Arabidopsis thaliana: one gene and its partners. The protein of the gene in region 1 purifies or fractionates together with the protein of each later gene. This does not show direct contact. Each region holds a gene or a part of one and is shown on either strand. Other genes may lie near its edges.

Evidence for each region.
Region 2: the proteins of DL1 (region 1) and AT3G15460 fractionate together in Arabidopsis thaliana (co-fractionation; one large-scale study listed by BioGRID). This does not show direct contact.
Region 3: the proteins of DL1 (region 1) and AT1G52930 fractionate together in Arabidopsis thaliana (co-fractionation; one large-scale study listed by BioGRID). This does not show direct contact.
Region 4: the proteins of DL1 (region 1) and ADL6 fractionate together in Arabidopsis thaliana (co-fractionation; one large-scale study listed by BioGRID). This does not show direct contact.

What each region holds. Positions count from the first base shown.
Region 1 is NC_003076.8:16,818,596-16,827,638, forward strand, and holds DL1 (dynamin-like protein), read right to left. Parts: upstream 6,422-9,043; 5' UTR 5,942-6,421; coding exon 5,813-5,941; intron 5,446-5,812; coding exon 5,382-5,445; intron 5,286-5,381; coding exon 5,178-5,285; intron 5,091-5,177; coding exon 4,989-5,090; intron 4,905-4,988; coding exon 4,854-4,904; intron 4,729-4,853; coding exon 4,667-4,728; intron 4,494-4,666; coding exon 4,403-4,493; intron 4,308-4,402; coding exon 4,243-4,307; intron 4,046-4,242; coding exon 3,851-4,045; intron 3,599-3,850; coding exon 3,479-3,598; intron 3,411-3,478; coding exon 3,340-3,410; intron 3,201-3,339; coding exon 2,975-3,200; coding exon of another isoform or gene 2,969-2,974; exon of another isoform or gene 2,871-2,968; coding exon 2,820-2,870; intron 2,722-2,819; coding exon 2,493-2,721; intron 2,420-2,492; coding exon 2,280-2,419; intron 2,195-2,279; coding exon 2,066-2,194; 3' UTR 1,689-2,065; downstream 1-1,688. Other genes in the region: AT5G42060 (DEK, chromatin associated protein), read right to left, coding at 49-327; AT5G42070 (uncharacterized protein), read right to left, coding at 523-565, 730-975, 1,319-1,524; AT5G42090 (Lung seven transmembrane receptor family protein), read left to right, coding at 8,235-9,043. UniProt on the Arabidopsis thaliana protein: Microtubule-associated force-producing protein that is targeted to at the leading edges of the forming cell plate during cytokinesis.
Region 2 is NC_003074.8:5,212,756-5,219,247, reverse strand, and holds AT3G15460 (Ribosomal RNA processing Brix domain protein), read left to right. Parts: upstream 1-2,986; 5' UTR 2,987-3,059; coding exon 3,060-3,256; intron 3,257-3,339; coding exon 3,340-3,481; intron 3,482-3,860; coding exon 3,861-3,939; intron 3,940-4,074; coding exon 4,075-4,199; intron 4,200-4,296; coding exon 4,297-4,398; intron 4,399-4,485; coding exon 4,486-4,554; intron 4,555-4,641; coding exon 4,642-4,740; intron 4,741-4,834; coding exon 4,835-4,969; 3' UTR 4,970-5,164; downstream 5,165-6,492. Other genes in the region: AT3G15470 (Transducin/WD40 repeat-like superfamily protein), read left to right, coding at 1-954, 1,053-1,143, 1,236-1,393, 1,505-1,556, 1,646-1,728, 1,830-1,923, 2,020-2,618; AT3G15450 (aluminum induced protein with YGL and LRDR motifs), read right to left, coding at 5,250-5,440, 5,538-5,902, 5,993-6,198. UniProt on the Arabidopsis thaliana protein: Involved in pre-rRNA processing and required for biogenesis of the large (60S) ribosomal subunit. Required for proper development.
Region 3 is NC_003070.9:19,708,707-19,715,166, reverse strand, and holds AT1G52930 (Ribosomal RNA processing Brix domain protein), read right to left. Parts: upstream 3,989-6,460; 5' UTR 3,907-3,988; coding exon 3,698-3,906; intron 3,600-3,697; coding exon 3,458-3,599; intron 3,124-3,457; coding exon 3,045-3,123; intron 2,869-3,044; coding exon 2,744-2,868; intron 2,649-2,743; coding exon 2,478-2,648; intron 2,394-2,477; coding exon 2,295-2,393; intron 2,202-2,294; coding exon 2,064-2,201; 3' UTR 1,859-2,063; downstream 1-1,858. Other genes in the region: GPCR (G protein coupled receptor), read left to right, coding at 4,119-4,289, 4,423-4,601, 4,673-4,784, 4,878-4,994, 5,077-5,391, 5,469-5,807; AT1G52910 (fiber (DUF1218)), read right to left, coding at 6,039-6,270, 6,350-6,460. UniProt on the Arabidopsis thaliana protein: Involved in pre-rRNA processing and required for biogenesis of the large (60S) ribosomal subunit. Required for proper development.
Region 4 is NC_003070.9:3,367,644-3,377,449, reverse strand, and holds the start of ADL6 (dynamin-like protein 6), read right to left. Parts: upstream 7,049-9,806; 5' UTR 6,677-7,048; coding exon 6,536-6,676; intron 6,253-6,535; coding exon 6,202-6,252; intron 6,106-6,201; coding exon 5,985-6,105; intron 5,856-5,984; coding exon 5,763-5,855; intron 5,419-5,762; coding exon 5,357-5,418; intron 5,187-5,356; coding exon 5,069-5,186; intron 4,923-5,068; coding exon 4,586-4,922; intron 4,481-4,585; coding exon 4,333-4,480; intron 4,007-4,332; coding exon 3,905-4,006; intron 3,825-3,904; coding exon 3,705-3,824; intron 3,438-3,704; coding exon 3,354-3,437; intron 3,270-3,353; coding exon 3,142-3,269; intron 3,039-3,141; coding exon 2,954-3,038; intron 2,837-2,953; coding exon 2,698-2,836; intron 2,473-2,697; coding exon 2,396-2,472; intron 2,326-2,395; coding exon 2,269-2,325; intron 1,987-2,268; coding exon 1,842-1,986; intron 1,755-1,841; coding exon 1,615-1,754; intron 1,276-1,614; coding exon 1,162-1,275; intron 1,049-1,161; and 6 more. Other genes in the region: AT1G10280 (Core-2/I-branching beta-1,6-N-acetylglucosaminyltransferase family protein), read left to right, coding at 8,711-9,307. UniProt on the Arabidopsis thaliana protein: Microtubule-associated force-producing protein involved in clathrin-mediated vesicle trafficking from the trans-Golgi network to the central vacuole. Able to bind and hydrolyze GTP. Binds specifically to phosphatidylinositol 3-phosphate (PtdIns3P).

The DNA of each region.
Region 1 (9,043 bases):
ATTAAAACTATCCAATTTTGGATCGACATACTTTTAGATTAATAATATCTAAATACTCGTCGACTCTATTCTCTTGGGAAGCATCGCAAGTTTATTGCCGATCAACTTTACTGCTTCTTCGAGGAAATTTTCAACTTCTTCTTTCACGATTACCTTGTAAGGATCTTGAGACAGATCAAGATCCAATTTAAGTGAAGCTTCTTCTCGCGCCTTAATCTCTGTTATCTTGTACAAGTTCGAACTTTCCAAGATCTTCTTCACCGTCTTCTTTATTTTCCTCCGCAGATCCTTGTCGATCTCTACTTCTTCTCTCGCTACTTCCTCCATTGATGATGTCTCGCCGACAGAGAGAAACCAAAGGGTTTTTGTTTTGTTTTTTCTTACGAGTGATAAAACCTTCTTTAGGGTTTCTTAACTATTGAGCCGTAAAATTATAAATGGGCCGATAATATGTTTAGGCCCAATCATCATTACACATTTCCAAAAAAAGTTCTTCTTGGACTTGAAAAACTGGGCTATATATCACTTGTTTGAACTTTTGCTAGAACTTGTTGGCTTTGTCTGGCTGCAAAACAAACAAAGAGAGAAGAACATGATCATCATTACTCTGCAAGGTTCTCAAACCCATTTTGACATTCTTGTACATGCCAAAAGACGGTTTTTGTTGCGGTCCAATTTGTTTCATTGTTGATTGTAAGTGTATATAAATAATACTAGGCATTAACATACCGTAGTAGTGAATCACTGGTGTCTACAGAAGTGGAGGATTTAGAGTCACCACGACCAAATGCAACCTCGTCCATGCTCTGCCCTATGCGGCGGTATCTACCTCCGGCCTCAACAAACGCGGGACAAGGCCTGTAAGCCTTAATTGGCCACCAACCGAAACCGGGGACAGTTGCAATGCCACCTTGAATCCGTCCGTCACCATTACACCCACTCTCTTTCTCTTCTTTCCCACACGCTCTGCAACCACTGTTTCATTCCTCATGTTATGATCTATTGACTATAGAGAGATGGATCCATCACAATTCACAAATGACAATATAACCAATCGCTCAAGCCAACATGAGACCACAAAGAAATTTATGAGGTTAGTTATTGTAGAGAATCATTTTAAGAGATTCACTAGTGTAACAAAATTGAAGATTCATATAACACTAACAAGTTAACAGCAGAAAAGAGTCTCTATGATTTCATCATTTACGCAATCCCTAATCTATCACTAACTCTAAAATCCTTAATGTCAACGAAATTGGATTAGCTGAGAAAGGTTTAAGCTTTCCAATGGAATCGATGAAGAGAAGCAAAAGGGTACCTGAAAGTGAGGTCGTTGTCGTCGTCATTATCAGTTTCTACGACGGAAGACGGCGAAGAAGAAAGAGAGAGTAGTGGATGAGGATGATGCTTTGATGATTTGTTGAGAAAGAAACTGCTTGAGCTTGGCCATGGCCTTGATTTGTGACTACCATTGTTGAAGATGAAACATCGAGGCAGAGATATTGATGAAATGGAATTCGCCATTTTTCTTTCCTCTGTGAGCTAAGAGAAGAGAGTGTGAGAAGATAATGGCCACAAATTCAGAAACGCAAAACAAAATAAAAAAGAGTACATTACAAATTTTTATTTTAAACTATTAGAATTTTTTTCTTATTGGTAATCATATTTAAATATTATACTCTTTTTTTGGGTAGAATGTTTAATATTATACTATTGTTACAGAAAAATTATCATATGCGAAAAATACATTTTATAGTAATTAAATAAAGGGAATAGAGAAAATCTAATCTATGTGGATGTTATAAAAGATACGTAACATATCGGGTGATGGACAAAAAACATTAGAGGCAGGACAAACAATGTGGATGTTATAAAACGATACGTAACATATCGGGTGATGGACAAAAAACATAGAGGTAGGACAAACAATGTGGATGTTATATAAAACGATACTGCATGGTATCGGGAAGATCATCTTATACAAATTACAGACCCTAAATCTCTGCTCCGAGTCTGAGCCACACCGACCAGAACCGAGCAAAACAGTGGACATGACATGCCGGTATCACTTGGACCAAGCAACAGCATCGATCTCGGATTGGGCTGCTCGATACAATTCTAGCCGCTTTGAGATGGCACTGCGTCTCTCCATGATTGCTGGATCTTCGTTCAATAGCGACGAGAGCCTCTTCATCTGTTGGATATCACCATATTAGTTGACTCAGTGTTTACCCGAATGACACTTCTTTAGGTTAAGAAAAAAGGCAGAGAGCACTTACATCCATGGTACCGAGCTCCGCAAAGAAATGGTCGAGGAGACTGCGCTTCGCTTCTCGGACTTGGCAGTATACGATGGACTTGGGGATTGAATTCCGCAGGCCAGCACAGACCATGTTCACGTAAGACAAAACATTGGATCCTGTTGCCAAATGTCTAAAATTTGTGAGATATACGGTACCAGATAATTATTTATTTATATGGGTTAACCTTACCGATTCGTCTGAGATAGGAATCGTTGTAGCGGTCGAAAATGGAGTGTGTGGGGTTACCACCCTTCTCAACATCCTGGGGAAGTTTCCTGAAGAAATCAACAGTGAGGTAACTGCACTCCATGTCAACCAGCTGCAGTGTTGCTTTCTTACTTCCTTCCCGCATTTTATCCAGCGACTCTATCGCCGCATTTGTCACCTCCACTCTCAGAGCTGGGTATTGTTTTAGTTCCTGCACATGTTCAAACCGTCTATAACATTGTACAAAAGTACTAGTTGTTGGAGATATATATATATATATATATATTACTAAAAGAAAAAAGAACGTACCACAGTTTCATTCACAGACTTGTGAACCAGATCCTTTAAGATAGCATGAACCTAATATTTAACCATAGAAAAAAAAAAAAACGGAGAGAGAAGCTTATTGTTTTGTGTTAGGTTTTTGATACATCTTTTTAGAGATGAAAGTAAAGAGTTCATACGGTGTCAACAGATGCTTCAGCAGGGCCTCTGATGGAGACAATAGAAGACTCAATGAGACGACGGTAACCTTGCTCAGGAGCAATCAAGTGAGGCTGGTAACCATCAGCCTCAGTGACCAGCTTCCGGATGTTGTCCATCGCTAGCTGCTTGTCAAATTGGAGTCTCTTCAGAGCCGCAGGAAGCTGGTTATCAAACACGTTGTACACTTTTTCACCACCAGCACGCCTGTGTAATCAACCATAGTCTTAAATTACAATTTTCCTTTTGTAGTTTCAGAAGGTCAAGAGTAGAAATATCAACTCAGACGCTATAACAACTCATGGTGTAATCTTAAACATTTGAAGTAAAAAGAGTCAAAACGTACACTCCATCAAGATGCTCTTTGAATATTTGATCAAAAAGCCGACATATCTCCATTATTGAGTACAACTTCCCCTGCATCAGAACATTAAGTAAATCTTGATAGCGCAATTCAATCAAAAATAAAAGAATACACAATTTACCCCTGCATCAGCTGCAATAGGCTTTCCAAGGCGACTTAGTTCAGTTTCCAGCTCTAATACTGTTTTGTTAATAAGTGACTGAATGCCAGGAATTCTCGACTTGATCACACGTTCTAGATGCTGCGCAACAAATAAAATTGTTGCAATTAGGCTCTGTCCTGATGGTTTTATACAGAGAAACGTGCTAAGCATTGCCATAACTTCGTAGTTTCTTAGTATTTTCTGTCGGCTGCTAAGAAAATTAGCAGCAATCGTGAAAACACTGGCCCTGAAACTCTTATTTACCACTCCTAACAAATTTCACAACGCCAACTTACTTATTATAAAGAACCTGGTGAAGAAAACTACCCCTAGCCTCGTGAAAGCACGTACCTTGGAGAGCATCTTTGCCAAATGCTCGGAACCCATTTTATTAGCAAGGTGCCTATACTCAGTAGTATTGGAAAAGTACTCCCTCTCTCTTTTCCGAGCCGCAATCATGTCGACATTCTTGTTAATATCTGCTTGGGAACGGTTGACGACACCAACCCACGGATATTTAAGTTTAAAAGATCTCCCTTCCAGAATCTGAGCAAAAAATATCATTTGGTAAGTAGCGGTGCACGCAATAAACATTAATGAGGGAACATAAGTATTATGATGTTACTACACAAATTAGCATTTTATAGCTCCAACATCATATCATAGACTAATTACAACACATTTTATTCACAGTAATTCGAAATTCTAGTACAGATGTTCTATAAACTGGGAATTCAACTTACTTCCACTGCATCCGTCCCCTTGTCCATAAGATCAATCTTTGTCAAGACACCAAATGTTCTGTCCCCTGTGAAGATCACCAAGATTATAAGAGACATAGGATGACAGAATAATGTGTTGGGTCTCTTAGGTGGAAAAATGAATTGTTTGTAAAATGCTCACCCGATGGATCAACCTCACGGGAAATTTTAATTGCATCTGAGGTAGCAAGATCTTGGTTTGCAGGTGAGATTGCCAAAATGATGCAGTTGGGCTATAAGGAAATTTAATTAAATAAAAAAAAAAACAGAATAGTGTCAACTCATTTGGCGCTACGAAAACATAACAAATATAGGGAGAATACTTATATATTACCGAATCTAATTTAAACTGGCGATAGCTATCTATAAAACATTAAAGGGTCTGGGAGTAAGCATTTTCATTTACCTTTTCAATGTAGGACCGAACCATGTTTTCAATGTCCTTCACTATACTATCAGATTGTCCATCTGCATCAACCAAAAGAAATTTGTCGTGTCATGCCAAATTATGTATGGTAGAGAATAAAGTCTATTGCCTCATGCTTCATCGCTAGAAAAAATAGACCAAAACTTCTTGCTCTACTGTAACTTACCAACAGCAACTTTTGTAAGCCCTGGAAGATCTATCAGTGTCAAGTTGACAACTGCACACATAGTAAAGAGGATAAAAAATTAGAGAATGAACAAAAAGCACATACAACTGGAAAGAGATTTTGGGTTGTCCTTACCATTGGGAGAGTATATGCTAAGGTGAATGGGAACACTAGAAATAGCCTTGCTGCGTCCAGTCTCTCTGTCAGTCTCATCTTGAATCTCCTTCCTCACAGCAGCTATAGAGGTGATTAAATTAATCAAATATCAATGGAATACAGGAGAAGGTGAAACTTGAACTGCAAATTGAGATAGCCGAAACCCACCAAAATCAGTAAACTTTTTCCTCGGGAGGTGAAGAAACTCTGCATACTCCCGGGTTCCATCATCGATCTTTTGCAACTGTAAGACAAGGGGCCTTCGAGTAACAATGCCTACAAATAGTTACCGCAAATGCATATTGTCATTACTCAAGGAAATAAGCAATTTCATAATTAAAACTAAGTAAGAAGTGTTAACACTGTATTTACCAGATCCACGGGGTAAAAAGTCCTTTCCCACGATGCTCTCCAGGACTGAAGACTTCCCTGAGCTCTGTCAACACAATAAGGATACAACATAAACTTAATGCCACATAGAATTATCAAAGTACAGAAACCCCTCTCCACAACAATCGTAGCTTAAATTAAATGGTTCAAGACCAACTAGTGAAAAAATATCCAAGTCAAAGCCAAGTCAACATTCCTCAATACCAATTGCTTGCAAAGCTAGTTCATAGTAGAAGCTATTAAACTATAATTCCTCACGATCCGGATGTTGATAAGCAAAAACAACGAAGTTTAGGGCAAATTTATCCGAATACCTCAGCTCAATATCAATTCCGAATCGCAAAAAAAACGAACGAATCGTGAGATAGATCGTCAAGCATATAATGGAAGGGGAAGGAGATCGAGATGCAAACCTGACCACCAACGACGGCGATCGCAGGCAAGGAATCCCAAAGAGTAGGTAAAGCGCTGGAGTCTCCATGGTCTCCTAAAGCCGTGCAAGCTCTCTGTATCTTGTTAACCAGAGAGATCAGATTTTCCATCGTCCTCTACTCCTCGTTTCCCCAATATCAAATGAGAAGCCCAAAATACAGTAGCTGCTACAACAGATCGGCGAGATCTGATACCTCCGCCGGTAAAATTTATTGCGGAAGGAGTAGATCTGCGATGCGACGGTGAGCTATGGAACCAGAGAAATAGAGATAGAGAGAGATGAGTTTTTGAATTTGAGTCGATGAAGAATTTTTGCTTGCTAGTGTTGGGAAAAAGTAAAGGGGAAGAAAGCGGTTTATATAAAAGCCAATACAGGGTCTTTTCTTTTCCAAAGAAAATTTGAAACGGCATGGTGTTTATTTCGAGAATTCAAAGACGACGAGGAGTTGACCAAAAACAAAATAAAAACGACGAGGTGTGTCGTATATATTCAACCAATCCCTTAATATTCCACATCTCTCTAACCAGGTAAAGTAATGATAATACTATTGCATGCATGACCAACCATATAAATAAATATAACAAGGTCGATTTTCTTGTAAAAGAATGTAACGAGTTAAAATTCGAATAAAAAAACTATCACTTATTAGTAGAGTAAAGTGATTTCATGTGGACCACGAACATCCTCATTACGATTGCAGTTCAAACGGTCCATAGATTGAGGATTCAAAAAAAAGATAAGAGACGTTAAGGATTATGATTGTTTATTCAAAAGGATGACACTAAACAACAAAATAACTGTAGTTTTGAAAATTTGAATGTATAAAATAAAGATCTTTTCTAGAACAAACCCACTAAATCTGACTAGTAATGTCACATCGATTTTAGATAGCGTTTGCATTTTGGCAAATACTATGTTTGGTTGGTGAGATCCAAACGCTTTTTAGAAATGTATAAAACATAGCACTAACACATTTTTAAACCTTATGTATTGTTTACGCAAATACACGTTATTTATTTTCCAGCTAAGTGGTGAAAAAATAAACCGGTTCACATTTTTTTTTTTAAATGTTACTAATGTTGTGTTTGTCTACACAATTTTTTTAAAAAATGTTACTAATGTTGTTTGAGACAAACACAACGTGTAACTTTGTATCCTACATACTCTTGTATCAATTGTTAGATTTTATGATGTTCATACGTTAACAAATATGTATCATGTGACCAACTTCTATCCCTCAAATTAGAATTTTGAAGTTAGTGAAAACGTGATGTAAAATAGGTTTAACATATGCTTTATGGGAATATGTTGAGACTAATATGAAATACAAATGAGGTTGGAGTGAGACATGCTATGTAATATATTTAGGTATGTAGACTGTATGTCTCCGTAGCAGCTGCATGAATTTAGCTTCCAAAAGCACATATACTTGCACGGGTCACACGGTTTATTTGCAGTGTAACTTTTTCGAATTGCGATTCTTGAACAAAATCTCTAAGAGTACTCTTCTACTACTTTCTGATGTTTTTCGTCATATGTGAGTGGAAGATGTTGGTTTAGTGTCGGGTTGTGTAGAGAGGACAAGAGTTAGACCATAGACACTCAAACAGTCAAACCAATCTATTATAAATAGATAATATCTCTCCGGTTTAGTATTTAAGCTTTCTTTGTATACCATTTATGTTTAATGAAGGTTTCGCGCTTGTTGATACAATCTGAACGAGATCTAAAGAAACCGTAAAAACATTTAGAAATAATACATCTCCAAAAAAAAGTCATTCGGAAAAACATTTTATGATTTAAATTGATGGATAATTTGTTCTCAACTTATACATCCAATTTCCGACCAATTCAAAACGAAATTCATCAATACTTTAATTTCTTCCTTTTTTTTTTTTTTTTTTTTTTGTCAACCGATATAAATTTGAACTCAAAAGATCCAATCCCGAGAGATATTGTTTACATACGTGACATGATGCGGTACGGTACGAATCTTTCGTGCCAACTTATCCGCTTTTACATTTGCACTACGAGAAATTAAAGATAAAGAGAAATTTATGAATTCTTCCCTATCACTCTACAACTCCTTCAAATACACTGGAAACGCCGGCCATTCGGTTGGAATCGGTGAATTGGTGAAATTTTTGTTTCTAGAAATCAACTAATCCGTCAAAGATGGTTTATTCCCTTAATGATGAAGGAAAATGGGTTCTCTTGTTGCTAATAAAATAATGGTATTTATTTTGTTTCTTAGAAAGAAAAAAAAGACTAATTTAATTTGGTTGGTCACACACAACCGTTTTCATCGGAAGAAGAACAAGTTGGATTGATTTTGCTTTGGATCTCACATCTGAGATCAGATTAATCTCTCTGTGAAGTCGAAGAACGAAACCCTAGTTCCCATGGATCTCTCTTCACGCTTCTCATCGATCCTTATCCTTCTCTTGATCTCCATCTCCATAGCTTCGGCTGAGATTCGTAAATCAGAGATCCGATCCGATGATCGTCCAATCATCCCTTTAGACGAATTCGGTTTCACTCACAGCGGTCGTCTTGAGCTTGACGCTTCCAAGATCTGGCTTTCCAACAGCAATCCCGATCTCGATCTCTCCAAAGTGGGCTTCTTTCTCTGCACTAGAGACGCTTGGGTTCATGTGATCCAACAGCTTGAAGAAGAAGAGATCACGTGCGCTCTACAATCAGATCTCGTTAAGCATGTGTTCACCTTCAACAATCTCAAGGGAGGAGATAAGAGCAGATTCTCCACCGTATTCACCGAGAACGATGCGGATCAGTACTCTCTCGTCTTCGCTAATTGTCTCCAACAGGTCAAAATCAGTATGGATGTTAGATCCGCTATGTATAACCTTGAAGGTAAAAAGGGAGGTCGTGATTATCTCTCTGCTGGAAGAACTGTTCTTCCTAAGGTCTATTTCTTATTCTCTGTTATCTATTTCTCTCTCGCCGCCACGTGGATCTACGTTCTCTATAAGAAACGTCTCACTGTTTTCGCAATCCATTTCTTCATGTTGGGAGTTGTTGTCTTGAAAGCTTTGAACCTTCTTTGTGAGGCTGAGGATAAGTCGTACATTAAGAAAACTGGAACTGCTCATGGTTGGGATGTCTTGTTCTACATTTTCAATTTCCTTAAGGGTATCACTCTTTTCACTTTGATCGTCTTGATCGGCACCGGTTGGTCTTTCTTGAAGCC
Region 2 (6,492 bases), on another chromosome or scaffold:
AGCTCGCCATTTGTGAATTGCAGTGTAGGATCAGTTAGTGCTGATTCATTGCGGTTAAATGGAGATTCTGATTGTGTACTGAGAGAGAGTGTAGTGAATGAGGAAGTGGAAGTGTGTACTATTAAGAATCTTGATAATGGGAAAGAGTTTGTGGTGAATGAGATTCAAGAAGATGGTACATGGAAGAAGGTGAAGGAAGTGGGAACTGGAACACAGATGACGATGGAGGAGTTTGAGATGTGTGTTGGACATTCTCCCATTGTTCAGGAGCTTATGAGAAGACAGAACGTTGAGGATTCTGATAAGAACACGTCTAAGGAAAACGAAGACAGTGGGAATAGTAATAAGGATAATGCATCCAAGTCTAAGAAGAAAGGAAGTTGGTTTAAGAGTATTAAGAGTGTTGCAAGTAGCATGACTGGTCATAGCAAAGAGAGACGAAGCAGCGATGATAGAGATACATCGTCAGAGAGAGGTGGTCGGAGGTCGAGCTCTGCTACTGATGATTCTCAGGAATCTTCTTTTCATGGGCCGGAAAGAGTTAGGGTTAGACAGTATGGGAAATCATCTAAAGAGCTCACGGCATTGTACAAAACGCAGGAGATTCAAGCGCATAATGGTTCTATTTGGAGCATTAAGTTTAGTTTGGATGGTAAATATCTTGCTAGTGCTGGTGAGGATTGCATCATTCACATCTGGCAAGTCGTTGAGGCTGAGAAGAAGGGTGAGTTGTTACTTGATAGACCGGAACTGTTGCTTTTGGCTACTAATGGGTCTCCAGAACCGACTACTATGTCACCAAGGAGAAGAGGGAGAACTTCTATAAGTAGAAAGTCATTGAGTTTAGAGAACATATTTGTTCCAGATTCTCTTTTCGGGCTTTCGGAAAAGCCCTTTTGTTCCTTTCAGGGACATGTGGATGATGTACTTGACCTTGCTTGGTCCAAGTCTCAGGTTAGTTAGTCACTTTATTTCCTTGGTACTATTTGGAAGAAATTGAATGGTAGAGAAGATTTATGAGTAAACAAGCTTTCTATTATTTGTTTCCTCAGCATTTGCTCTCTTCATCAATGGATAAAACAGTTCGTTTGTGGAATTTGTCCAGCCAGACTTGCTTGAAAGTATTTTCGCACAGTGATTACGGTTAGTAGGTTCTGCGCCAACTGCTTTTAATTGTTCCGTCTTTTGGTACTTATCAAATTAACAATGTGTGTTTTGATTATTGATTGGAACAGTGACTTGCATTCAATTTAATCCGGTTGATGATAGATACTTCATCAGTGGATCCTTAGATGCAAAAGTTCGCGTCTGGAGCATTCCAGATCGTCAAGTAGTTGACTGGTATGATCTTCATGAGATGGTCACTTCTGCTTGCTACACTCCAGATGGTCAGGTACACTGAAATCTGCCAAGTTATGATCTGAAGTCCAGTTTTTTGGCATCTCATGAAGAATCCTTAAAAGAGTTTCCTAACTTTCTAAAGAATTTCTGTTTAAACTTGAAGGGTGTGTTGGTTGGTTCATACAAAGGTAGCTGTCGGATGTACAGTGCATCAGGTACTGATGAAGTTCTTGTTGGGATTTGATATTGGTTTTCTTTCTGCTATTTCTTATGTTTCGACACTAAGTGATAATTATTTTTTCAGATAACAAGCTGCAACAGAAAAGCCAGATAAATTTACAGAACAAGAAGAAGAAAGCTCATCAAAAAAAGATAACTGGTTTCCAGGTAACGAAAATCACTTGTTTAGGAGCAATATCCGGTGAAACAAAACGCGTTGTTCTTGATGGCTCTAAAAGTTCCTTGCTTTGTCTCATTTCATATTTTAGTTTGTTCCTGGGAGCTCATCTGAAGTGCTTGTCACATCTTCCGATTCAAGGATCCGTGTTGTTGATGGAACTGATCTAGTTAACAAACTTAAAGGTAAACAGACAAACAATCGCCTTTTGAAGTTTCAAGCTTTGTCTTCTGTTTACGAGCCAAAGTATCGATCTTTTCTGTTTTCATTTCATTTGATAGGGTTTCGAAATACGAGCAGCCAGATCTCTGCCTCAATCACAGCAGATGGGAAATACGTAGTTTCAGCAAGCGAGGATTCACACGTGTACATATGGAAGTACGAATCCCCTGCTTCTCGACCAAGCAGAAGTAACAACAACAAGAACGTGACAGTCACAAACTCTTACGAGCATTTCCATAGCCAAGACGTCTCTGCAGCCATCTCATGGCCTGGAATGGCCTCAACAGAAAACTGGGGAACCCAAAACAGAGCGGGGTTTAACGGAAGCACCAATAACTTGGACAATATCTCCACAGCTAACCATCCGCCTACACCGGTAGACCAGCTGGGGACTGTGGAGCGATTAAACAGTCCACGGAATGGGATCATATCGAGCGCAACAAACGGATACTTTTTCGATAGAATGTCAGCGACTTGGCCTGAAGAGAAACTGTTGTTTGCAAGGAACAGAAGTGGGAATCGTCTGAGTACGGATATGTCGTCGTCAAATGGAAACTCAGGGAATGTATCGGCTTCTTGGGGAATGGTGATTGTCACTGCAGGTCTCAGAGGAGAGATACGAACGTTTCAGAACTTTGGTTTGCCCATTCGGATTTGATAAAAACTGTACAGAGTGGTGAAGAAAAATCGAGTGAGGTTTGTATTATTGTTAGCTGAGCTTTTTTTTGTTCCTATTCTTCTTTGTTACAGATTTGTTTCCAGGAAAATGGAGAGAAAAAAAGAGAGAAAGAAACTATACAGATCATTGTAGAGTTACAGACACACGAACAGAGAGATATGTTTATTGATTGGAAATAGAAAGAGAGAAACCAAAAAAGGAAAATTCTTTTGCAATGTAGTTTCTTTTGCGTGTCATTAAGGCCCATGTAAGCTTGATCCGGCCCATTGAAATTCCTTGTATAAAAGTGAGAAACGTTGTCGTTTTCGTTGTGACATTTTTAGTTAAAGCAGCTTGTCTCTTTCTTTAGGTTGTTGAGTTTTGTACTAAAACCCTAAATCAGAGAATTTAGCGTTGTTTCTTCTTCAATAGACACAAAAAATGGGGAGGAAGAGAAAGCACAGCGAGACTGTTACGGCGGCACCGGTGAAGGATTCTGCTCCGGAGAGACCTCAAAGGACTCTTTTGGGTTGGAAAGATAAGAAGGAAGATGCTGAGAACTCTAAACCTGCGTATGCGTCTGTATTCAGGAATAAAGAGAAGGTTCTCGTTACTTGTTCCCGTCGGATCAATTTCAGGTGAATGGTGTTGAAATTTACATTGGGTTTGATTCGGTTTAATGGTTATGAATCATGGAGTAACTTTGTTAATTCGTTGGAAGGTATCGACATTTGATGTTGAACATGGTGTCACTTTTACCTCACTGTAAGAAGGATAGTAAGGTAGAAGCTAAGAGCAGTAGAGGTGCCACTCTTAATGAGCTCATCGAGCTTAAGGGCTCTTCTTCCTGTTTGTTTTTCGAGGTAAAGTTTCAATCTTTTTTTTGGCTACCTTAATTCCAGAACCAGTTACTGTTCTATGGTCTGCTCTTCGTAAGGGGTTTGGTAATCATATTCGTATCAATCTTCTTAATTTCTTTTTCCATGTATTTACCTATTTGGTATGAAATGTAACTTGGTAAAACTTTCGTACCATTGATGATAGAAACAAAGAGCATTACAGATTGAATTCTCTTTTGTCTGGTTCAAATTGGGCTCTCTAGTCTCTCTGTTTTAAATGTCAGCATGTCTGGATTTACTTGATTTCAGCATGTCTGTAGAGTATTAAACTGCAAAGTCAATGTATTCTTGATTTCTTCCCAGAAACTGAAGTTAGTACGTGTTTGTTTGTGTTCGTCTTCAGTGTAGGAAGCACAAAGATCTTTACATGTGGATGGTGAAGTCCCCTGGTGGACCTTCCGTTAAGTTCTTGGTTAATGCTGGTAATTTGTCTCCAGCTCCTCTTATTTGGTTTCAAAATAAGTGACTGATGGATATAATAATACTTTGGGTAATGATGAGTTTATCAATTTGTATCGTCTCTGAGTAGTGTTTCTGTAAATTTCTGTATGGTGAAGTTCACACAATGGAGGAGCTGAAACTCACTGGAAATCATCTGAAAGGTTCACGCCCACTTTTGACATTCTCATCCAATTTTGAAAACGATGCACACTGGAAACTTCTGAAAGAGATGTTAACTCAGGTCTCATTCTCACTTTTGAATTGTGGACGATCCTTTTGTAGTCGCGGTTAGTTTGGTTTATATCTTCAACTTTTAAGTTTTGTTTTTTTGCTTACAGATTTTTGGAATTCCCGAGGGACATAGGAAGTCTAAACCTTACCATGACCATGTGTTTGTTTTCTCCATTGTTGATGACCATATATGGTTCCGTAATTACCAGGTAAGTTGAAATTTTAGCATCTCTCATGCTCTCATTTCATTTCAGTTTGGAAACGTTTCGTTTAACTAGCCAAGGCTTCCATTGCAGATATCGGTACCTCATAACGAGTCAGACAAGATTGCACGAGGCGATCTGGATAAAATGACTCTTATTGAGGTCAGGCCATGACTATATATATACTAACACTAACTTACATAATTTCTGAAGAATTAGTTGTTGATTGAAGTAAAAACCTGATGACAGGTTGGTCCAAGGTTTTGTTTAAATCCAATTAAGATATTTGGAGGCAGCTTTGGAGGTACAACGCTTTACGAGAACCCATTCTATGTATCTCCAAACCAGGTACTTGGTTCTTCTATAAGCAACTTGATAGATCACATTGCTATATATGATTATCTGTCAGAGTTCTCATATATTCCAATTTCCTGCCTTTTAGATTCGAGCTTTGGAGAAAAGAAATAAAGCTGGGAAATTTGCTAAGAAAATAAAGGCAAAAACAAGAAGAAAGATGCATGAACTCTCAAACCCATTGGAGCCTGATGAATTTACAGACATGTGGAACGATGAATGATAAAAGTCGACCAAAGTTTCTTTTTTGCTATTGTAAACTTCTAAATTCACAAAATCAACACAGTTTTGTCTTTACCACTGCTTTCTTCCCTCCCTCTTATCTATCAAAGAGTGAGATTGCGAATTTATCACACAGTTGTCTAAGTAAAGACTGCTATGTCACGAAGAAGCAAATCAATTTTATTTCTTTATCGTCTTCATAAGGCTATATTTACATAAACAAGAGTACATAAAAAGAAAACGCAACAAAGAAGCAAGAGTTAACGAAACTAGAAGCAAAATCAACGAGAATTAGCCAGCGCCCAGTTAGCTTCACTTCCTCTTCTAGGGATACTATTGATCTTAGAACAAGCATCAACTTTGAAACTAGCTCCACAAAGAACACCTTCACTATCAATCCTCGGCATTGCCTTCATCATATTAGTCGGATGGTCAAAGCTCTTAAGCCCTGTCTCACTATGAAACATACATCCTGCAATAACAAAAACACAAAACACACATCAAGATCTAAACTCAAAAGTATGTTTCTTTCTTTATAGGGCTAATGAAAAACTTAAGTTTTGGTTTACCATTAGGGAAAGGAGCAAACGATTTAGCACAGCCTTGCTTTATGATCTGAATATCATCAGACATTACAACAGATCCGTCTCCAGAAATTCCCCAGTAAAGACTCTCTCCTCCATCAGAACTCAGAGCTGAGAAAACAGAGGAAGTTTGAGTATCGTAGACAACGAAAGCGAAGCTTCCCTCAAGACCTCTAAGAACTTGATCTGCTGGGTAAGGACCACGATCACGAAGTGTTCGATAAGCTTCGATCACAAACATTGCCTCGTTTGAGTTCTTCCCAGATAAACCGTATTGTCGATTCAATGTACAGAGATTATTCAATCTCCCTAGAAACATACAGTAGATCCCATCTAGTCCACAGAACAACCTGAGCAAAACAACAAAACCATTATGAATCTATGAATTGGATTTAGAGATTTGACTTGTATATATGTGTTTTATGTATATTAGTATATACCTTTGACGAAGAGAGGTTTCTTGGCGAGCGTAAGCTAAGACGGCGGAGTCGCCGAAGTTCATAGAGAAAGCATTGTTTTGGTGATGAGAGAGGAAGTCGGAGAGAGTTTCGCCGGGAAGTTTAGGAGTTTTGCCGGAGAAATGAGAAGCCGGACTGTTGAGTTCTTCCGGTGGGTGAGCAAAAGCTTTCTGAAATATTGCCAACATTTTCGTTTTCTTTGTCTTTGATTAATCCAATGCTTGAAATGTGTTATGTTTTTGTTGAAGACAATGAGGGGTTTTATAAAGGTACGAGATTATTATTACACGAGATGCTGACTTGGATTTTAAGATAAGACTGACATGTCTTACGTGTTCTTATCCGTTTCTTTTTAGACAAAATTATTCTGTAGTTAATCTTTTTTTTTAAAGTGTCTGGTAGGTAAATAAACAAATTGTGAATCCAATGATGATTAGATATTTAATCTGACGAGTAAATCTTTTTGGAATGATATGATTTTT
Region 3 (6,460 bases), on another chromosome or scaffold:
TTTAGTTTTATGAAGTGCTTATGATTCTTTTGCTACTGCCATCTGCATATACATCAAATCTAAGTTAGAGGACGTTTGTGATTTTAAACATGCAATCAAGACGAATATACTAAAGATGAGTTTGTGGAAAAGAGTTTTAGAGAAACGAACCTATGGTAGTTATTTTTCAAAATATGATGCTAAAACAACAAATAATTACAAAATTTTTACAAAAGAGATAAAACAACTAGTATATGTAGCTCGTAGAGTGTGATTTTAGAATGTGAGTTACGTTAAGCATATCAAAAAACCAACGAGCTGTTGGACCAGTGGTAAAATCTCTCAGGTGGAAGTTCGAAGCATGTTAGGAGGGATCTCTTTTCTAAAGGAGATGAATTTAACCTGGTGTGGATCCCGCCTCTGGGAGATGTAGGGCCGAGTTCTTCCTTTAAGAATAATCAACTTGTAAACTTAACAAAAATAGAATCGACTTTCTTACACTTAATGGAATCAACTTCCTGCTTCCGACTAAAAGGTATCAGATCACGGCCTTTAATCTTCGCTGGAACAATATGAGCAACGTAGAACTGAGATTTTGGTGGATCGACAACACTCTAACTGATTTAAAGAACGGAAAAAGGGAGATCGATGGTCCATTAAACGCTAAGGAGAGAAGACGATGGGTTTAGGTTTATAGTTGTATGTTCACATGAGGGAAAAGGCGTTTTAAATACAAGACCTCGACATTTAACACAAAACGCAGAGTTTAACAAAACATAATAGAATAACAGTAGAGGAAAGCCTCTACTTCGTTCATAGTCTTTTTGTTCCTTTAGCCACTTTTCTTTAGTAACTTCCTCAAGTATCTCTCCATGGCCTTAGCCTTTCTCCCTCCAGACCTCATCCTCTTTCTCATACATGCTAAAGGAACACTTAACCTATCAAATTGAACCAACATGACCTATTCAAATCATTGGCTGATCACGCTGCCGCTAGTCGATGCTTAGAGCATCCTATCTACGATGCTTTGTCTTTGAAGAAACAGGACGAACTCGTTGCACGATGCGAGGGAAACTGGAAGCAAGTTTTGAGTTTCATGCAGTCCATTGATGAATCTTGTGCTATGGTGAAGACTTCAAGAGGCAATGTAATTTTTCTTTTTCATAAAAGTTTGGAAATTGTTTTAAAGAGCGTGGCTTGTTGTTACATACCATTTGGTTATGATATAAATCTCGGGATTTGGTGAAGACTTGAAGAGGCAAAATATTGTTTCTTTGATAAAGACTTGGACTTTTTGCTTAGATTTGTCAGTTTAGTTAGATGATTTTGGTAAGTGTTGCAGTAGAAATTGTTTTGAAGAGCATGAATTGTTATGATGCAAGTTGCTTCACTTTTGCAGATGCAAGTAACCACGGGGGATAGATTCACAATGGTAACCAAGGACTCAAAAGTATACTCTTGTGGTACAACTGCGTGGGCTCTTGGTCATGGGAAGGAAACTAGACGATGTCATGAATTGAAGCATATAGATTTACCGTTTCTTCTTTCTTTAGCCATAATAGAAGCTCTGTTCAAGCGGAGGGATAAAATTTAGGAAATAGAAATGATCCAGATTTAGGATGGTATATCGATTGAGCGGGAGTGCATTCTCTGCGCAAGTGATTCAAGTATCAGCCTGTGACTATACAATAATGAATTACGTCTCTTTAAATAAAAGAAAGATAATGAAAACTCTAGCCTAAAAGCCCAAATAAACATTAAGCCCTTGAGAAACAAAACCCAAATAACGAGCTAGCCCAAACTTGAAGAACGATTTGAGATGCGCTGCATCAGAGATGTTGATAATCAGTTATATGTAGAACTAATTTTAAAGGCGATGCTTGTGCAAAGATTAATAGCGTTCAGAAGAGAAAGTGAAGATATGATCCTGAGTTGCTTGTTCCTTACTTTCAATGATGTCAAGAAACTTAGAAACATATCATTGCAAGACAAAACTTTGTTTATGTTTGATAGTGAGCGAAAACAAGACAAAACTAAAATAACAGTAAGACAAAGTGAAGTGATACAATTTTCCTGAACTCTGATCATTCATCATCTTTCCACATATCTGCAAACTCATCAGGCTCCAACGGGTTTGAGAGCTCATGCATCTTTTTCCTCGTCTTCGCCTTGATCTTCTTAGCAAATTTCCCAGCTTTATTTCTCTTCTCCAATGCTCGAATCTAAATACATTGATTTAAAATTTGCTTAAGGAAAGTTCTAAGATTCATTTGGTTATATCTTTTGCTTGCAAATAAGAGATTAATCAATGATACCTGGTTTGGAGATACGTATAACGGGTTCTCATAAAGAGTAGGACCTCCAAAGCTGCCCGCGAATATCTTGATTGGATTCAGACAAAACCTTGGACCAACCTGTTGTCAATAGTGTATCCATTTCAATCAAAAACCATGGTCGAAAGACTATTATTAAAAGTTTGTAACTCTTTGTCCACAAACCTCGATAAGGGTCATTTTATCCAGGCCACCTTTTGCAATTTTATCTGACTCATTGTGAGGAACCGAAATCTGGTAATTTCGGAACCATATATGCTCATCAACAATTGAAAAGACAAATACATGGTCATGGTAAGGCTTAGATTTCCTGTGTTCCTTAGGAATTCCGAAGACCTGAGAGATAAACAAAACAAAACTAATTAGGATGTGAAAGTCTTGAGAACTAATGGACCAAAAACATTATCCAAGGATATGAATCTGGCAACAACCTGAGTAAGCATCTCCTTCAAGAGTTTCCAGTGCGCATCTTTATCAAAATTGGATGAGAATGTCAAAAGTGGACGTGACCCTTTGAGATGATTTCCAGTGAGTTTCATCTCTTCCATTGCGTGCACTTCAATATACAGAGAACAAAAGTAAAAATCCTTTTACCAAAAAATACATAGTTACAGAAACAGAACTCAGATATAGAACAAGACACAAGCTGATTGAACCCATCATAGCTAAATACGTGACTAGATCTATCAGCTCTTGCCACTTAAACTAAAGTCAGAGGATCTCGACTCTTACCAGCTTTAACCAAAAACTTCACAGATGGTCCATTAGGGGATTTGACCATCCACATGTAAAGATCTTTATGTTTCCTACACTGAAAATGGAAACATAAACAAATACAAATCAACCAATACATTCAGAGATTGTACATTTACATCAATATGCATATATTAAGCTTCCACAACAAACCAAACCCTAACAATTTGGGATAACTATCAAATTTTGATGACATGGAACAAATACTAAATACCAATAGAGTCAAAGATTGTCCATTTGCATCAATATGCATATACATAAGCTTCCATCGAGTATTCTAATCACAAGTTTCTGAGGTTTGACTTTTGAGTCAAACATTCCACAGTAAAGGAACAAATCTGACTACATGGAACAAAAACTAAGCCTAGAAATAAGTAAGATGGAAACTTTACCTCGAAGAACAAGCAGGAATTAGAATTCTTAAGCTCAATGAGCTCATTCAAAGTCGCGCCTTTGCTACTCTTTGCTTCAACTTTACTGTCTTTCTTACAGTGTGGTAGAAGTGAAACAATGTTCAACATCAAACTCCGATACCTTCACACAAAAATCCCCAATAAACAAATCAATTTCAAACCCTAAAAACGAAATCAAAACCAAAAGAAAGGAAACAAATTTAGCAATTTAAACTCAACCTGAAACTGATACGACGAGAACAAGTCACCAAAACCTTCTCTTTGTTCTTGAATCCAGATGAAGTCAAAGCTTTAGCTTTCTCAGCTTCACCTTCACTCTTATCTTTCCATCCCAATAGAGTCCTTTTGGGTCTATCCGGAGCAGGCTCATCGCTCTTTTTCACCGGCGCCGGAGCTTCCGTCTCACTGTGCTTCCGCTTCCTCCCCATTTTTTTGTTTTTCCGCGTAGAGACGTTTTCTCTAGGGTTTTAGCAAGTGTTTTAAGGTCAGAGACGAAACAGAGAGAAAAAATCATGGGCCGGTCATTATTGGGCTTAACTTAAGGCCCATTAATAATGGTAACGATGTGTCACTTCGTCACTTCGTCGTTAGTCTCTGTTCTTCGCGGTCCTCTGCAGCAACCGCTGAGAGAAAGAGAGATATGGGAGAACGGTTTTTCCGAAATGAGATGCCGGAGTTTGTACCGGAAGATTTATCCGGAGAAGAAGAAACTGTTACCGAATGTAAAGATTCGTTGACGAAACTGCTATCACTTCCGTACAAATCATTCTCAGAGAAGCTTCACAGATATGCTCTAAGCATCAAAGATAAAGTAACTCACTTTTCAATTTGATTATATATGATTTTGAGTTATAATGAAGTTATGTAGTTATAATGAATTTATGACTTTTCTTTAGTCTAGTGAAGTTGTGTTTTCTCTTGTTTGTGTGGTGATTCTGTTTTAGGTAGTCTGGGAGACATGGGAACGATCTGGAAAACGTGTTCGAGATTATAACTTGTATACTGGAGTTCTTGGGACAGCTTATCTCTTGTTCAAATCTTATCAGGTTACTAGAAATGAAGATGATCTTAAGCTATGCTTAGAGAATGTTGAAGCTTGTGATGTAGCTTCAAGAGATTCTGAGTAAGTGAATTTTCTTCAATGATCCAATTTTCATGAATTCATTTCGGGGTAATGATTGTGGTTTCTATCAGGCGAGTGACATTTATATGTGGCTATGCTGGTGTATGTGCTCTTGGTGCTGTTGCAGCGAAGTGTTTAGGTGATGACCAGTTATATGATCGTTACTTAGCCCGTTTCCGAGGGGTAATTACTAATTACAGTTTCTTTTGCTCTAGTGAAAATAGATAACTTGTTCTATACTTTGCTTGAGTGTTGCAACTTTGATCTGTTTAACAGATTAGGCTTCCTAGTGACTTGCCATATGAGTTGCTATATGGTAGAGCAGGATACTTGTGGGCGTGTTTGTTCTTGAATAAGCATATTGGTCAGGAGAGTATATCATCTGAACGAATGGTATAATAAAGTTATAAAATTTCTTTGGTTAATTGACTTACTCAAGAAAGTTCAAGATTTTATGATATCTCTATATCTTCAGAGATCAGTGGTTGAGGAAATCTTCAGGGCAGGAAGACAACTCGGGAATAAAGGAACTTGTCCATTGATGTATGAGTGGCACGGGAAGAGGTACTGGGGGGCTGCACACGGTTTAGCTGGGATCATGAATGTTTTGATGCATACGGAACTTGAACCAGATGAAATCAAAGATGTCAAAGGTACACTAAGCTATATGATACAAAACCGTTTTCCTAGCGGGAATTACCTATCTAGTGAAGGAAGCAAATCAGATCGCCTTGTTCACTGGTGTCACGGTGCTCCTGGTGTTGCTCTCACACTTGTAAAGGCAGCTCAGGTAATCATTTGTTGATTGAAGTACTCTTATCAGTAAGTAAAACCACAATGCAAAACTCATTTTCTGGATATCGTCAGGTTTATAACACTAAGGAATTTGTAGAGGCAGCAATGGAGGCAGGAGAAGTTGTGTGGAGCCGTGGATTGCTTAAACGAGTAGGAATCTGTCACGGTATCAGCGGAAACACATACGTGTTTCTTTCTCTATACCGGTTAACAAGAAACCCAAAGTATTTGTACCGCGCTAAAGCTTTCGCGTCTTTCCTACTCGATAAATCAGAGAAGTTAATCTCAGAAGGTCAAATGCATGGAGGAGATAGACCCTTCTCTCTCTTTGAAGGTATCGGAGGAATGGCCTACATGTTACTCGACATGAATGATCCAACACAAGCTCTGTTTCCAGGTTATGAACTCTAAAATGTATAAAACTTACACTGTAACAATAAGCTTAGATACTGAAATGTAGAATAGCTGTCTATATTAATAAGATTTTATACATCACAAGAAAACAAAAAAAAACAATTGTGATACAAGCAAGAAGCAAAATGACTAACATCATCAAATTTTAATATCCTATTGATCAGTGAGTGGATAAATGGACAAACTCATTCAGGGTTTAGCTTTTCTTGTTCTGGATCTCACTACTCACTAGTAATGTGGGGTTTGGTAACCGTCTCGGGCACGAGAATAGGAGATGTAATAGAACTGAGAGACAATAGCAGTGAAGAGAGCAAAGGAAGCACCAGCAGCAAACACTCCTTTACGGATCACTTCACAGCTAGGAGGGTTTTCGATGTTCCACATCCTTCTGTACGTAGTGTGGTACGCGTTTCTGATTGATCCCGCGAGCAAACATACCTCAGCAATCAAGAAAAACACCCTGTTCAAAACCAAGTGTAGAATGATGTGTCAAGTCAAAGTCATAAATTATAGAGATTGTGTTAAGTATAGAGTTTTACCAGCAAATAAGGAAGAGCATAATGCCACAAGCTCTTGAACCACCGGGTTTAAGAGCTTTGCCGCAGCAGAAACACCGACTAGCCACCATAATAATGACTTGACTAATGAAG
Region 4 (9,806 bases), on another chromosome or scaffold:
TTATAAATTTAGTAATTTACCCAAACAGTTCAGATTCATAAGAATATCAGATACAAAATTCATTCTATAACTACTACAGCATAGCGTGCTCAAAAAATGGATGCCAAGAAAAGTTGAATAAGAAATAAAACAAAAATTCAAACAGACATTTGACTCATGAGACCAAACTCTTTTTTAGCTGCCAACACATGTGTGTGATAATATCTATCTACAAAGACCAAAAAACAGTAGTACAATCATCCAATCACTGTCTTAAACTAGAAAAAATAAGAGTAACGTAGTCCCAGAAAACGGGACACAATGCGCTTCCAGGGTTTTTTCTTCAGGTTCTAATACCTATAAGCTGAACCTGTAGGCGGTGGTGCTGGTGGCAACCGATTGGGGGTGGTGCGGCGGTTGCTACCAGACCCTGGTGATGCTGCATCTCCGTTCTGCGCAGGGTCACTGTAACGGCGGCTGTGACCACCGGAACCGTACTTTGACAATGAGTCTGAGGGTCCATTAGCAGCGGAGTTGAAGGCATTCATCCAGTCGTCCCCTGAAGAACCTCCACTTGCTCTTGGGCTACTCTCTGTAGGACAAGTGATACCAAGATTAAAAGATTTATAAACCTAAGTTTCATTGAAGATCTTTCAGATGGTATTTAAGAAACCGTATCAATCCAAACCAAGCAAGCAGAAGAACTGTTATCATGTTTCGAATATAATAAGGCGGATGAATTTACCAGTGCCACTGTTGTCCGAATAACTTGAAGCAGCTGCTGCTCGGTTGTCGTGAATGCTAAGCTGCCTCGTGAGTTTAGAAAGAAGAGAGGATTGTTTCTGGTAACGCTCTCTTCGTCTTTTGACATTCTGATCCTCTTGTATCAATGACTCAATCCTTTCATTGCCTATTGCACTAAAGATCAAATACAGGAGAGCACAAGTAAGCACACCACAACTGAAACGAAACAAGGCACAGGGAACGAAAAGATATTGAACCTTATAGAACTGTAGAGTTGATTCAGCATGTCTTCCTTTGCTTTCTCTACTTGACAAAGAACAACAGCCTGTTCATGGTCAATTCACATCGCTTAGTAGCATGACCGAGGAATCTCTGTAAGAGAAAAGAGATGGACAAGAAAATTTAGAGCTTTCGAGCTTTTGCATAAGGATAGTTCACCTTTGGAACATTGGCTGCAAGGCTGTTAAGAACAGCTTCAACGTAACCCCGTACTTCTTGGGACATCCACCGGAGCTCCTCTTCTGGATCGATGGGTTTCCTAACCATCTTATCCTGAAATACAGACAAGGAAAAAAACGTAAGTCTCAGAAAATATTATAAACAATAAAAACCTTAAATGTCAAACATAACTTATGTCAAGTTTAAAAGTAGTATCATGCATACCCCATAAACTGAGCCTTCTATAGGAAAAATGTTTCAATAATAAAAATTCGACAATGTTCAATAAAACATAAATAGCTTTGTTTGCTCTTCCAACAGTTTCAAACCTTCCGAAGTGAAGTTTCAAACTTTCTTCATAGTGATAATAAGTAATCCATAAGACTAGTGAACGTATCTAACATAGATTTAAGGAAGAGGAAATGTAAGAAAAGCTGCCCATGAGTGACTCACAAGTGAACCTTCTGAAAGACTCTGCCTCATGGAAACACTGCCCACTTGGCCTCCACGAGCCTGGATAACCTTTTGCAACTTATTAATCCACTCGTTCTTGTCGACTACACTCTCAGCCTTAAGCACAAGGGCATTGTGAGCTGCAACATAATAGTTTGAGGAAAACTCATAAAAGTGCGAATAGAAGATTAAGAAGTTTGAATTCTTATAATGATTGATTTATGTACCTTTGAGTACAGTCTTATAGGGAACCTTGCAGGTTATTTTAAACACAAGGCCTGGTCCTTTTGAATCAGGTCCATTTGCCTTCTTGTCCTTCGAGCTCTTTGACTTTTCTACTTCGTCCTCGGGGATTTCTTCAATAGTGCATTCCTGAGTGGATTAATAAAGTTGGAGGAAGTATAATTAGAAAAACATGGAAAAAATGTTATCTATAGAGTATCCAAATTTCTCATCGATAATAACAGAACTATTAAATATTTGAAGCATAAGCTTCAAAATACACAAGTAATTGTCACTCTCCAAGAAGGAAACAGTGTGGGAGAAAATAACAAGGTGAATACGAACTATATTCTTCTCTAATTCTTTTTTCCATGTCATATCTAATTATAGTTCACCTTTGGCAGAAAATAAAGCATAGGAAGAGAATGGTACCTCCAAAGTTATCGTGCCCCGAAAGTTTCTTTCTTCTTGCTTTTTGGTATAGCCAAGCTAGAAAAAGGTAAACAGTAAAGTCAGTAAGTTCTCAACAACTGAAGAATATACGTTTCAAAATGCTGACCTTTCCAGTTTTCTCATTCAGAACAAACCATCGCCTACTCCACCCATTTGTTTTTGCACTTTTCTTCATTAAGTACCCTAAATGAAAAGAGTAAGTATTTGTTATCTACCTTGGAAGTTAGTTTTGTCAAGTTAGTTTTAAGTGATAAAGAAGAAAAAGACATGAAGAAATCATGCACTTGGACTAAGAGCAAAGCTTTGCAGCAATAAAATCATGCAACGTAAGGAAAGCAAATCGGGAGTGAAAAAGCAGAATGAAACTTTTTAGACAGTAACTGGGTAGATGTATATTAGAATAACAACCTGCTGTTATCTCCCCCTCAGGTCCAGCAGTTTTCAGACCAGAGACCTCCGGCGTCTCTTTATCTTGCGGACTAGGTTTGTCTTTCATTGATTTTAAGCTACCACCAGCTGTTGGCCCATCTGGCTGAGGACTAGTAGCCTGATAAACATATATGTAGAGAATTTCCACATTATATATTTTCATGTAAAACGATAAAAAAAAAAAAAAAACATTTTTCACTACGTATATCCAAATTGATACAGAATGAACACACACCCTGCTTAAAAGGGACTGCTCTGCATCTTGTCCCTTCTTAGAAGATCGCCCTTTCAGCTCTTCCTCGCGACGTTGTCTTTCCATTCTGATGGAGTCAATACAGTGCATCGTCAGAAAGAGAAATAATTTTCAGTCATGAACCATTGAAAATAAAAACAAAAATTGCAAAGAAAGACAAGCCAAAATACCTCCTTTGCACAAGACGGATAAAATGTTGAGGTGGTACAAAAGCGCGTTCCATATCAACTAGTGCAACCACCATTTTCTTGGCTTCATTCTTGAAACCATCAAGTGCTGCACTTGCTATAGCTACAACCTGGTTGATGATTAGTCAGAAAGGAATAACTGTTACCGAAATGATAAAATATTACTGAATAAAGCACCAAAAAATCATTATTACCTCTCGCTTGAAAGGAGGATATCTCCCAAGTCCAGGTGTAGCATTTGCAGAAGCTGAAACTATGTCAACAAGAACTCGGTGAACCTAATCAAAAGTTAAGACCATGTTAGCTCAACACGTAAATAAGACAGAAGCTGGATGCATGAGTTTTAAAGTAGGAACCAAAAAATAGCTACATCTACGGTAAGGGATATTAACTTACTAAGGCTTATAAACCAGAAAACTTGACAGAACTCTAAATAACAGTTCGAAGAATTAAAGTGAGACAAGCCATAGCCAGTTCACAATGCAGTAAATTTCTAAAATTCAATCCTACTGCATGTACCTAAAAAAACATGTAAACAAGCACACCTCATCAACACAAAGGCGTGCCGGGTCTTTAGCCAACTCAAGGACAATCTTTATCAACGATCTCAACCCTTTCTCTGGAGATATAAGATAAGGTTGATAACCATCTGCCTCCAAAACAACCTGAAAATCAAAGATATTTTGACAAATCAAGTCTCAAAACTTGTCTCGTGCAGAAACTTAGGACAGAAGAAGACACCCACCCTTTTAACATTGTTCAGGTCAAAATGTCTATCCAATGGAAGCTGCTTGATACGGTTGGGGAAATTTCCTTCAAAACTTGCAACAACTTTCCAACCACTTCCCTGAACAAGAATCAAAAAGTTTTGAGAAAAACATTTGCCAAGCTCCAAAAGGGACTTCAGCCCATAAACTGAACACAGACAAGTACAAAAACTCTATATCAAACACTCAGTTGGCTTATACACATATTATAAACATCCACTATCAGATTCATGAGATTCCCAACAATATAATGTGCTCTTACCAAGCGTAGGCTAGCAAGAGACTTTCCACTACACTAGTACCAAATCTGAAATGGCTGATTGCTAATATTTGAAGAGTTCTTCTCTCTCACTATATTCTTGAATTTTCGACTAAATCTAGTTAACTTTTGTAAGAATGTACTTACTTCACCACCAGCCAAGTGCAGAAGAAACTTGTCTTCAAACTCACGGCAAAGCTCCAAAGCTATAGCCCTTGTACCTTCAGCACTGTTAACTAGTTGTTCACCAAGCCTCGCTAGCTCATCCTGCACTATTTGAGACTTACCCTGGAGCCTGTACAAAGAATTTGAAAGCCATATGCGTTCAAGCAACCAATGTCATATGCCAACACCATAATAAAAATCATGAAGAAAGCACATATATGGAGAGAAGCAATACCCAGACAGGACACTTGGAAGCCTGAGCTTCATTCTGCTACGAATCTGGCTAGCAAGGGTATCCACCAACGCAATTCTGCCAAGCTTGCTTTGTGGAGCCCCAGTCAAAATGGACTTAAGACTTTCACTCTCAGCACGCCAAGCAGTTTCTAAGGAGTTCTCACCACTTCCAGACTGTGCTGACGCAATTGAAACGGATTGGCCAATAACAGCAACCCATGGAATGTCAGTTGTTTTTGGAGGTCCTTGATTTGAAAGAAGAGCCTGAACAGCTGCAAGGGCTTTCGAGTTCTCTGCTGCCTGGTCAATTTTTCCAATAATGCCTATTGTCCTAGTACCTATAAGTAGGGAGGAGTGATGTTAGCTAATGAGTATTTTAAGCAAACTGAAGTGATAATAGGTAGGTAAATCAACAGTTCTTATCAGGTATACAAATAATAAACAATATTAAGATAAGACAGATCGGAAATACAGATGTACTCACTCTCTGGATCATACTCCTTTGCAATCTTCAGGGCTCGGGATGATGAAATTTCAGATGCCTGGCTAGCAGGCACTATAACCAGCAGTATGGCATCATTGTGTTGCGCGTATTCAGCAATCTTGCAAAGAGACCCAAGAAACAAACAACAATTTCAAAAGGATAAACATGATAATGAATCTATATTATCACTTCAGTAGGAAACCGATAAAAATAGTCAAAATCTTTTGTTTCGTGGTTGTCAGGCAAGTTAAGGATATGACAATGGCATTAAGTAGTTCCAAGCCTCACCATTGACTCGTCCACAATTCTCTGGTCCAGTCCAGGCAGATCAACTAATTTCAATGGTGGAGCTGCAATGTAAAGGGTAAACGTAACAGGTTATGATGGTCAAAGAAAATTTAATACTACGAAACTGTCGGTCATATGTCATATGTCATAACTCATGTTCAAAAGAGTGTGTACTGTTTATGTTAAAGCTCCGTTAGATATTTAATCTGATACCCACCAAAGTAAAGCTAGAAGCTCTAAACTAGTGTACTAGATAGTATATAAGGATAGCAAGATATTACAGCTGACCAGTTCACGGGTATCAAAGATAAATTCATACACCCAACTTAGGTTAGCTAAGGATGTGCTATTTGAAGAGTAGATATAGGCTTGCCACTTATGATTGTGCAAGTAAAAAGGGGCTTACCTGTGCTGGTACGAAGTTTTAAGTTTATTTCATCACGATTCTTCCCTGAGGCTCCTTTGCTAAGTCTATCTTGCAGAGAATGTCTCAAAGCACCTAAAATATACCCATGTAGAACACAATGGAGATATTATGAGAAGACTGATCGAAATTTTTTTATCATAAATGCAGAAAGAGCCTCACATAGCATTGCTAAATTGCATATGTTCATAGATAGAGACTTACTTGCAGAAACTTGTTGAGATTTATTGTCGATTTGCAAGATAATTGCCTTGCTGCTCAAAGAACTCTCCCTGCTCAATTCAATTATTATAGGAGCTCGTGTAGCACCATTCTCACCCGTCGGCTGTGTATAGTAAGTGTAGCAGACACAACAGAGGTCAGTATTAGTATAAGAAAAGGAGTAAGCCAATAATAACCATAGACTCAATGTACAACTTACCAGCACTGGATGCCCAATTAGACTGTTTAGAACTGCAGACTTTCCAGCTCCCTGGTTCAGTATGCAAAAAGAGATAAGTAACAAATAACAAAATACATCAGCCTTCTCCGGCACGAGTCGCTCCTCATGTAACCATATATCCACTAATAAAGAGAATCCCAACAAAACTAGCTATAAACGATGAGTGTGTCCTAGCAAAATTCGATAAAAACCTAATCTAGATCCAGAAGATCCACGATATGGCAATCCAACATACACTCGAACACAGAATAAAACCAGCACGAGCCTAAAGAGAGGAAAATCGAGGAGCGTGGAGTGAGAGCGAGGAACTCACCACATTTCCCAAGGCAACGACGTTGAGGAAAGTGGCAGGGCGCTTGGAAGAAGAGGTTTCGTCGGGATCTTCGTCGGCGAGGAGAGACGCCGCCTGCTTCATCGAATCTGAGAGCTGAGACAACTCATCGATCGCCTCCATCGCGACTAGCAAAAGCCCTCCGCGAATCGAGATCGAGTAACCGATTCAAAGTGAAGAGATCTGGAGGAAGAAGGAAGCCACTCGATTAGATCTGAGCAGACCGGAACCGAAATCGGCGGCAATAGGCGGGGTCTTTCCCGGTGAGACGATGGGCCGGAATTTGGAATCCGGTCGCGATGGTGTTAAGCTAAGATTTTTCGTTGGGGATTTCGTAAGGGAAGGCAGAAATGAGCGAAGACGAGGTCATAAAGAGGACGTACGTAAGATTTCACAATTACACGGGACAAGATTCAAATTTCAAAAGACTTACAAAAATCATATCTTTCTAATTTTTTTCTGATCGGTCTCAAGTGCTTCTTCTTTTTCTTACTTAAAAAAAAAAAAAAAAAAACAATGTGATGTGAAATACACATAAAAAAATAAAAAAAAATTATCAGTTCATTTAACAATTTATCATCTATTAGATCCATTCATATAACATTAGATGATGTTGGAATCCCACATTACTAAATCAATGTGAAGGTTCAAATAAAAATGTAATCAAATGTTGTTGTGGATCTCGTTGTTGTTCATATAGTTCTCGCGACATAATTTACCTCAAGGGAAGGCAAACAAAAAATCTATTCACAAGGTGTAACTATTTTCGTAAACTATTATAGTTTTTTTTTGGACAAACAACCCCTACTAAAATCTATTTGGTGTATGTTTTTTGAATAATTGATCCTACCAACCTAATTTTTTTGAACTATATGTGTTTTTTGTTGCCTGAATCTCATCTTCCCTTCTTTAGAACTGTTGTCTATCATCATACCTTCCAACATCTTAGGACTAGTTTGGCAATGTTGACAATTCTTTGTGATGTATGACAAGTATAATTATAAGGAAAAAATAAATAAACATTGGACATAAAAATCAGAAATTTCCAAGCTAACTATATGAAATTTCTAGGCACATTTCTTGGTTCTTTTGATACCATTTCTTTTTCCTTTTGGACATCTGGATATCATATTGTTTGTTTGGGATACTAGTTCTTCCCAAGTTTTTAATCTTAATTAGCTGCTTTGGATCCTTAATAGAAAAATAAACATTTCATATATTCCGGAAATTAGTATAGCCATCGGTTTTAGATTTTCTGGTGATTAAGATATAAGAAGATATTTTTTCAAATATAATAATGAAAAAACAAAATCTACAAATCATTAAAAAGGAAAAAAAAAATCAAAATTAGAATACAATACATTGTCTCAATACTATAACATAACCAAAAGAAGCATCAATAAATTTTACTAATAGTTAATAAGTACAGAAAAAATCGAAAAATTCTAGAAATGTTAAAAGTAATTTTTTTAAAAATAGTAAGGATATAGAAATTAGATAATCAATAAGTTTGACTACTGGATATCTAGAATTATTTCTATAAAAAAAAAAGTGAAATGTCGGACCAAAGAGTTGACGAGCACTAAACCACGTCACAATTAAACGTGGGCCCTCCGGCCCAATAACTTAAAACCAATAGATTATTCCCATCTGGCAAGATCTGCGGACTTTGAACTCGTTATGCTTTTCGACGTGGAGTTTTAAACTCAATTAATCTAATTAAATTAAGCATAACATTCCAATTAATTTTGTTCTTTTATATATATAAGATCAAAATCAACCACACACACACATAGATTTCAACTGGAAGAAACAAAAGACCAGATTTGTTTATGTTTCTTCTTCTTCTTCTTCCTCTCTGCATGAAATTCAGTTTCTGATCTGTTTCAGTCATCGTTTCTCACTTTCCTCGAAGATTTCCACAGATCCAATTTCCATTTATCCACTTACCTTTTTCGATTTCGTTTGATCCTTGGATTTAATTATATGTTACAAATTTAGGAAATTTCTCGAGGAGATTGAATGCAATGGATTTGTGCTTGAAACAATCAGATTCTCTTTGAATCATAAGAATGTTTCCCTGAAACTTTATTTTTGGGGAACAGAGATCATCACTGTGTTGTTGTTTGGGTAGACAAGTTTTGAGTTTCTCGAACAATGGCGAGAGGAGGGAAAGAGGAAGGAGAAAAACACATAGGGTTACTAAAGCTGGCGCAAACGCTGTCGTTTTTGCTAATTTTCATGGCTGGAATCATCATCGGTCTCGCCGCAAGTTCTCACATCGATCGCTACTTCAATTCTTTGCCGAGGATGTTCTCATCAACCACTAACCTCCAATCGATTCCTTTTTCGACTCCTGATTACTCCAATTGCACAATCATCCACCGAGACTGCACAGGTAACGACGACAACGAGAGCGACGACGGAGGAGTCAAGGCGGAGAAACCAAAGGTTCGAGATTGTTGGAGCATTGATGGGTTTGTTCGGCCAGAGAATCTGAGTCATGGAATGACTGATGATGAGTTGTTCTGGAGAGCTTCGATGGTTCCGGTGAAGGAAGAGTATCCGTACGATAGGGTTCCGAAAGTGGCGTTTATGTTTCTGACGAGAGGGCCTTTACCTATGCTTCCGCTTTGGGAGAAGTTTTTTAAAGGCAATGAAAAGTACTTGTCCGTTTATGTTCATACGCCTCCTGGATACGACATGAATGTCTCTCGTGATTCTCCCTTTTACGACCGCCAGATCCCCAGCCAGGTACGTTTTGATGCAGGACAGTGAACTTTTTGTGTCTTGCTTGTGTTCTTCAGTGGATCAGAACAAAACAAATACTTAGTTTCACCAGTGACTTAATCTTGTATACAAGAACAGAGTAATAGATAAGTAGATAAGAAATATAGTCATTCTGGATCATGGAGATCTAGTTCTCTAGAGGAACAACATGTAGATCTAATCGGCATGATGGAATCCAAGTTACACTGGCGCGTGACTATTTGAGATTGTTTATAGGATTTGAACCTTTTAATTGTTTCTTCCACTGTCAGCTACATCTGTTTCAAGGTTGTGTATTAGATGAAGCTTTGTTACTAATTTTGCTATTATGTGATTATTTGGAACATAGCTGGTTTTAGTTTAATGATCGGGAACAGCTTTTATTATAGAGGTGATCTGCTTAGCTGTGATCTGCTTAGCTGTGAACTAGGAAACTATAAAAGACTAATTCATAGACACATTATATAAGCTTCTCTTGTTGATT